Anolis sagrei: one gene and its partner. The protein of the gene in region 2 purifies or fractionates together with the protein of the main gene of each other region. This does not show direct contact. Links are inferred from orthologs where the notes say so. Each region holds a gene or a part of one and is shown on either strand. Other genes may lie near its edges.

What was found.
Region 1: the proteins of UBLCP1 (region 2) and PSMC1 purify together in Homo sapiens (affinity purification with mass spectrometry; 3 studies listed by BioGRID and IntAct, with this or other methods). This does not show direct contact. The link is inferred for Anolis sagrei from reciprocal best matches to the Homo sapiens genes UBLCP1 and PSMC1.

What each region holds. Positions count from the first base shown.
Region 1 is NC_090021.1:314,839,448-314,843,369, forward strand, and holds the start of PSMC1 (26S proteasome regulatory subunit 4), read left to right. Parts: upstream 1-1,166; 5' UTR 1,167-1,269; coding exon 1,270-1,272; intron 1,273-3,373; coding exon 3,374-3,427; intron 3,428-3,922.
Region 2 is NC_090022.1:79,050,126-79,054,047, forward strand, and holds the start of UBLCP1 (ubiquitin-like domain-containing CTD phosphatase 1), read right to left. Parts: upstream 2,617-3,922; 5' UTR 2,515-2,616; intron 2,498-2,514; exon of another isoform or gene 2,368-2,497; intron 1,085-2,367; 5' UTR 1,034-1,084; intron 1-1,033. UniProt on the Homo sapiens protein: Dephosphorylates 26S nuclear proteasomes, thereby decreasing their proteolytic activity. Recruited to the 19S regulatory particle of the 26S proteasome through its interaction with 19S component PSMD2/RPN1.

The DNA of each region.
Region 1 (3,922 bases), on a different chromosome or scaffold from region 2:
AAGGCGCCTGTCTGATTTCAGCAGGGAGGGAGTTCCACAGCCGGGGGGCCACCACCGAGAAGGCCCGCTCTCTTGTCCCCGCCAGGCGTGCCTGTGAGGCAGGCGGGACCGAGAGAAGGGCCTCCCCGGATGATCTTAAGGTCCTCGTGGGCTCGTAGGCCGAGATGCGGTTCTCAAGGTATTTATATTTTACGTTCTATTTTATCTTTTTATATTTATTTTTATATTTTATTTTATTTATTTTTATCCTTGTATTATATGTATTGTTTCTATTTATTTTATATTGCATCCTTTGATTATATTTTATTTATATTATTTTATATTATATTTCTATTTTATGTTCTATTTTATCCTTGTATTATATGTATTTATTTTATATTGTATCATTGATTATATTTTTATTTATATTATTTTATATTATATTTCTATTTTATGTTCAATTTTATCCTTGTATTATATTTCATTTATATTATTTTATATTATATTTTTATTTTATGTTCTATTTTATCCTTGTATTATATTTTTATTTATATTATTTATGGTATATTTCTATTTTATGTTCTAATTTATCCTTGTATTATATTTTTATTTATATTATTTATAGTATATTTCTATTTTATGTTCTATTTTATCCTTGTATTATATTTTTATTTATATTATTTATGGTATATTTCTATTTTATGTTCTAATTTATCCTTGTATTATATTTTTATTTATATTATTTATAGTATATTTCTATTTTATGTTCTATTTTATCCTTGTATTATATTTTTATTTATATTATTTATAGTATATTTCTATTTTATGTTCTAATTTATCCTTGTATTATATTTTTATTTATATTATTTATAGTATATTTCTATTTTATGTTCTATTTTATCCTTGTATTATATTTTTATTTATATTATTTATAGTATATTTCTATTTTATGTTCTATTTTATCCTTGTATTATATTTTTATTTATATTATATTTTATATAATGAAACAACCAAAGAGACATGATTGTCTGTCTAGCTGCCATCACCAAAACACTGCTCCACTTCCTTCCTCTCCTTTTGGAATGCCAAGTAAATCTGACTCTTCCTTGGCCCCGCCTCCTTTTGCCTCCGTCTCCACAGCAACGCTTGGCCCCGCCCTCCCCCTCGCGCGCTTGCCCCCCTCTCCTTAGCAACAGCTTGACCCTCCTCGCGTCCCGTAGCAGGCCTGCTTCCGCTTCCGCTGTTCAGAGAAGTTTGAGCATTTCCGGCGGCGGGTTGTGAGTGAGCAGAATGGTAAGTGAGAAGGGTGCCGCGGGCGAAGAGAGCGGATTGTGGGAGTTGTGTTGTGGTGGGCGTCCCTGAGGGAAGCGGGTGCCCTGAGGAGGGCGGAGAGCTGCTCCTTAGGCTCAGTCCTTGGTTCGTCCGTCCCCTTCGCAGTGTTGTGCCTTGTCATCGTCCCTCATCTTTCGTCTAGACCAGGCCTGGGCAAACTTGGGCCCTCGAGGTGTTTTGGACTTCAACTCCCACAATTCCTAACAGCCTCAGGCCCCTTCCTTTCAGTGAAAAGAAGAGGCCTGAGGCTGTTAGGAATTGTGGGAGTTGAAGTCCAAAACCCCTCGAGGGCCCAAGTTTGCCCAGGCCTGATCTATAACTGTAGAATTAATACTGCTGAATCCTGGGAGCTGTAGCTTGATCGATAACAGCCCTCTTTGGCTGAGAAGGCTAAAGACCATGTAAAACTACAACTTCTGTGATTCCATAGCATTCAGCCATGGTAGTTAAAGTAATGCCAAATTGTATTAATTCTACAGTGTAAAGGCAGCCAAAAGTGGAGTGACTCTGTGTAGAACAGACCTTAGCAAACTTAGGCCCTCCTGGTGTTTTGGACTTCAACTCCCACAATTCCTAGCAGCTTACATTTGATGATGCCTCCTGTAGCAAATGGTCTGGATGTCTCTTGGCCAGACTTCCCCACTGTCCCAGAAATGGGCATATTATTAAGGAATCCAAAGGTTTTTTCTTCTTTTTCCTCATGCGGGGTCAGTCAACATCAGTGTGTGCTCAAAAGAACAAATTATATTAATAGGGAAAATCACAAAAGGCAAGTGAATCGACAGCAGTTACTTTTTGTGAGTCTGCAAAGGCATAGTGGGACTGATAGCCTCATGACACCAGAGTAGGCATGGGCAAACGGGCAAAAATATGATAGCTGGGACCCTACACTGGTTGCACAATGCATGTCAGAATTAATGAAGGGAAGTCCGCTTGAACTTTTCTCAGCTGCTAGAGCTGCTTTCCTCAAAGGGCGGAAAGTGTGCTGGTAGCCAGGGAAGGTTTTTACAAGGGCCAAGTGCAAACAGAGCAGCAGGAACCAGAGTCCTCTTCCCCTCTTCTTGTGCTTTCCCCTGCCAGCTTTTTGACAGTGGAGGAGTGGGGACTCCAGGAGGCAGGATGTGTAAGCCATAGACCCCCCTCCCCCCTCCCCCTCCCCCTCTCCCTCTCCCCCTCTCCCTCTCCCTTCCTTCCTTCCTCCCAGCTGCATCTCTCACTCACTGCACTGTCTCATACATATCTTCCCTTCATGAATTCTGACCCACAGTGTGCAACCAGCGTAGGGTCCCAGCTATCATATTTTTGCTGGCAAACTTTGACTCTCCAGGTATTTTGGACATCAACTCCCACCGGCTGTTAGGAACTGTGGGAGTTAAAGTCAAAAACACCTGCAGTTTCCCCTTTTTGTGAGGAGTACAGCTGAAGCATTTTCTGCAGAGGCCACTATCAACAGTGCACATTGTTACTAACAGATTTGTGTAAATGGGTGGTTCAGAAACCTTTTGCTGTTGACACATTTTTCGTGACCCCAATTTTGAGTTAAGGGGACCCTGTTTGGGGCCGGGACCCAGTGTAGTATCCACCTTGTATCTACAATAAGGGGAAAGGACATTAGCAGGCATTACCAGCTACCTTGATATATTGCAAAAAAATAAAATACTTGCCACTGAAATGAAAATTATAATGAAAGGAGATTGTTGAAAGAAAACAATCTTCTCTGGGTACATTTTGGAAAGAACTATCGAGTGGTCTCCAGAGAATTCAAAATGTCTTTGTTTGTTTTCAGTTTACCTGTGCATAATTTAAGTTTTGAATAAAAAAAGTTTGCTTGAAACTTGTTGAACAGCTGTTCTTTTCTTTGTAGTGAGAAACCTAGCTCTATTTTTTTCCAGGACATTTTTTTTCCATTGGTACCAAAGTTTCTGTTTGAGAGGTAAAGCCCAGGAATACATCCACTTTGTTAATTGACATATACCTGTATAGATGTTATTTCAACTGCACTAAGGGAAACAATTGTTTTTCAGCTGTATATTATATTCTGCTTGTTTTTTTTTCCCATTAGGGTCAAAGTCAGAGTGGTGGACATGGCCCTGGGGGTAGCAAGAAGGATGACAAAGTAAGAATAAAGAAATAAGGGATTTTGTGTGGATGAGGTGTATAATGGACTTTCTTGAAATAAGTGCAGCATTAAATGTTCTTCTAGAAAAAATATTCCATGCAAATTGAAAAATTCAAATTGCACTTTCTCAGACATACTTTCACTTTCTACATAAGAAACTTTGTATCTCATTTATATGTTATTTCTGTCTCAGACTGGCAATGCAGTAGTCTAGTTTTCTAAGTCTTCTAAGTATTGTATTAGTTGCTTTTAGGTAATGTGTCACTTTGGACATTATTGTAAACTCTGATTTGTAACCAGGAATTACCCACATCTCTTTCTCATTTAACATGACTTTAAGGAAGAGATCAGATGGGGTTTTTCAATAAATGTATCTTGCCCTTTAATATGGCCATAACAAATTGTGACTGCTCCACTTGAAGTCCTTTCTGTACTGTTACCTCTTCCTTAAAAAACTGTAATTCATCATGAAATCCCTCTCAACAGATCTAA
Region 2 (3,922 bases):
GGGTTTTTCCTTTCTTTTTCATTATTATTTATTTATTCCATTTTTACACACACACATCTTTCACCCCCGCCCCATCCCCTTTATCCCACTCGCTCATATGTTGATGTAATTTTGTTTTTTTTTTTAGTTTTGTAAATGTTAATAATAATAATAAACATAATGGGTTCACTTCCCAACAAAAATGTGCACAACTGCTATTAAGATCAAGTAGAACATAGCTTTAACGGTCTACATAGATTTGGAAGATGTTTCAGATTGCAACATGTCTCCTAAGAAATATTCTTCACAACATGTAAAGGGGACTTACTCCTGGTAAAGGCTTTTACCAAAGAAATGTAAAAGAAGTATGACTGAGAAAAGCATTCTACATTTAGTAAAATTATGGTTTCCATAATCCATCTGCTCATGAGGAAATCTGTGGTCACCACAAAGCTCTTAAGCAAGAATCCAGAGAAAGATGTCTGCATTTGGTGTCCTGCAGTTGTAATATATTAAGTGGTTTGCTGTTAAAGGATAGTGTTCATATATTACCTTCGAGCTGACATGAAAATCCTTCTGTAGTTTGAGCATGATTTTATGTGTAAAATCATGATCAAACTACAGAAGGATTTTCATGTCAGCTCGAAGGTAATATATGTACACTATCCTTTAACAGCAAACCACTTAATATATTACAACTGCAGGACACCAAATGCAGACAACTACTTAAAACTTTATTTGAGAGCTTTAATTAAATCTTCTGACAATATGACTCCAGATGGGAAGCTCAAGACATCACATAATAAGATGCAAAATAGAGGCATGGCTGAAACTGTTTGCATTTCCAAGCCACCAGGTAAAGTTATTCCATCAATAACAGTATTTGGATTGCCTGAACAACTAATAAAGTTTTCTTCAGGCTAATGTAAATTGGATGAAGGTCTCATTACAGAAGAAATAGTGTCTTCATTCATCTGAGCTCACGCTTCCACAATGCAGAGTTCTCAATTCCTCATACAGCCACAACAGGATTAAGCTATAAGGAATACAGTACCTTTAATTTTGAGGTGGATGAAGTAAATATTTAGCCTAGTAGCCTTTAGTCCTGCATAAGGAGAAATGTGGGATATAAATAAAATAAAACAAGGTGTGTTGACATATGCAAAAACTAAACATTCAAAAACAAAAGTGCTGCTTACTTTAGGAAAATTTTGACAACATACTGATTAGAGCCCCAGTATATTTTAGTTATTTAGAGAGAAAAATTTGAAGTTTGGATTGTTGTTGGTTTTTTCGGGCTCTATGGCCATGTTCTAGAGGCATTCTCTCCTGACATTTCGCCTGCATCTATGGAAAGCATCCTTTGAGGTAGGATGCTTGCCATTGATGCAGGCGAAATGTCAGGAGAGAATGCCTCTAGAACATGGCCATAGAGCCCGAAAAAACCTACAACAACCCAGTGATTCTGGCCATGAAAGCCTTCGACAATAATTTGAAGTTTGTTTTTTTCTTTCCAGGATGACCCATAGTTCAATATCAAAGAACAAGCTTTGCACACTAAAGATCCCATGTTCAGGTAGAACTAAGAAGATCTTTCAGACTCTCAAATCATTTTACATAGTAACTCTCAGAGTTTAAGGCAGCTCTGTGTGTTCACTTGCTTATAAGCAGGACAGGGAAAAAGACACACAATCTAAACACCTACAGAAAAGGAAAAAAACGGGGAAGAGGGAGGGGGATCCAACTTATACAAATACCTCCCATTCTAACAGATGATGATTTATATCCTACTTTATGTATTAGCATGAAACCAAATTAGTTCTGCTGTATGGATATACTTTCATTTTTTAAATAATTTTCCCACATGTAATGAGACACGCCTATGTTTTAAAAAGATCTACCCCTCCTTTTTGCTGACTGTTTTAACTCTGAGGGTAGAGAATCCATTATTTCTATACTAAAAATACTTAATTTCAGTATTCTTATGGGCAATGGTTAATTCCTCCTCAAGGTAAGCAGTCAGAAAAGGATTATATCAGGCCTGAGCCAACTTGGGCCCTCCAGGGGTTTTGGACTTCAATTCCCACCATTCCTAACCGCCTCAGGCCCTTTCCTTTCGCTTAAGCGGCTGAGGGGGAAAAGGAAAGGGCCTGAGGCGGTTAGGAATGGTGGGAGTTGAAGTCCAAAACCCCTGGAGGGCCCAAGTTGGCCCAAGCCTGGGTCACATGAACGCAATGTATATATTTACAAGTGTCTGGGCCACATATTCTCTCAGAAAGAAGTCCAAACTCGGGGTGAATTGGCTTTAACGTGCTGCAGGCCGCCTTGAGTCCTGCCCTGGGAGAAAGGAAGGAAGGAAGGAAGGCGGGCACAAGTGAAGGCAAATACCCGGGTCCAGGCGCCCTTTCTTCGCCCTGGGCCTTCCTAGAGAGACCGAGGCGGAAAGGGGAGGGAGGGAGGGAGCCTCTCCTTCGGAAGAAGAAGCAGCAGCAGCGAAGCCGGCCAAAGCCGGGAAAGAGGAGGACTCCGTCTCACCCCGAAAACGACCGTCCCGGGAAGCAGAAGGCGCAAACGGGAGGGGGGAGCGGACCGGAAGAACTTGTTGAAGCGCCCGGAAGTGGAGACCCGGCCGGCAGGCGGAAACATAGATATAAGTAACTTGTAGAGGGAAACTCAGCTCTGTTGCTTCCGAATACCGCGGCAGTCATTTTGGTTTGTTTGAAAGAACGCGACAGGTGCCTCATGTGTCTCTTCTGGCGTTTGAAACGTGTGCTGCTATCTTGGGGGTGTGTTGTGTGCCTTCACGTCGCCTGCTGGGTTGTACCTTTGCGCTTGAGGATCCTGTCCACCTCCTCCTTCTGCCCCTTCCACTGAGCTGTATGACATCCACATTGGACTGGATTATCTGGCAGTGTGGACTCAAATAACCCAGTTCAAAGCAGATCTTGTGGGCCATCTGCCCTGATATTCTGGCTGTGTGGAAGGGACCGTCATAGCTATCCTAATCCTGGCACATTTTTGATTGCAAATCAAATAATGCTTGCGCGCAGAAAGTCTTTCAAACTGCGTTATATGGCAGTGTGGATGGGGCCTTTGACCACCTCAAAGCCTTCATTGTCTACTTCAGAGTTGTGTGGTTACTCTCACCCAACCTATTCAACTTGTATGCAGAACACATCATGCGACATGTGGGCCTTGACAAATCCAAGGCTGGAGTTAAAATGGCTGGAAGAAACATTAACCTTAGATATGCAGATGATACCACTTTGATGGCTGAAAGCGAGGAGGAGCTGAGGAGCCTCCTAACCAAGGTGAAAGGACAAAGTGCAAAAGCTGGGTTACAGTTAAACATTAAAAAAAAAACCAAGATGATTGATAACTGGCAAATAGAGGGAGACAACGTGGAGGCCGTGACTGATTTCATATTTTTAGGCGCAAAGATTACTGCAGACGCAGACTGCAGCCAGGAAAACAGAAGACATTTACTTCTTGGGAGGAGAGCAATGACCAATCTCAATAAAATAATTAAAGAGTAGAGACATCACATTGGCAACTAAGATCCACAGTTAATGCAATGGTATTCCCTGTAGTAACCTATGGATGTGAGAGCTGGACCATAAGGAAAGCTGAGCAAAGGAAGATAGATGCTTTTGAACTGTGGTGCTGAAGAAAAATTCTGAGAGTGCCTTGGACCGCGAAAAGATCAAACCAGTCCATCCTCCAGGAAATAAAGCCCAACTGCTGACTGGTGGGAAAGATATTAGAGACAAAGATGAAGTACTTTGGCCACATAATGAGAAGACAGAAAAGCTGGGGAAAATGGAAGGAAAAAGGAAGAGGGGCTGACCAAGAGCAGTGACTGCCTTGACCTTGAAAGAGCCGTGTGGTGACAGCCAACAGGGAGCTCTGGAGTGGGCTGGTCCATGGGGTCACAAGGAGTCAG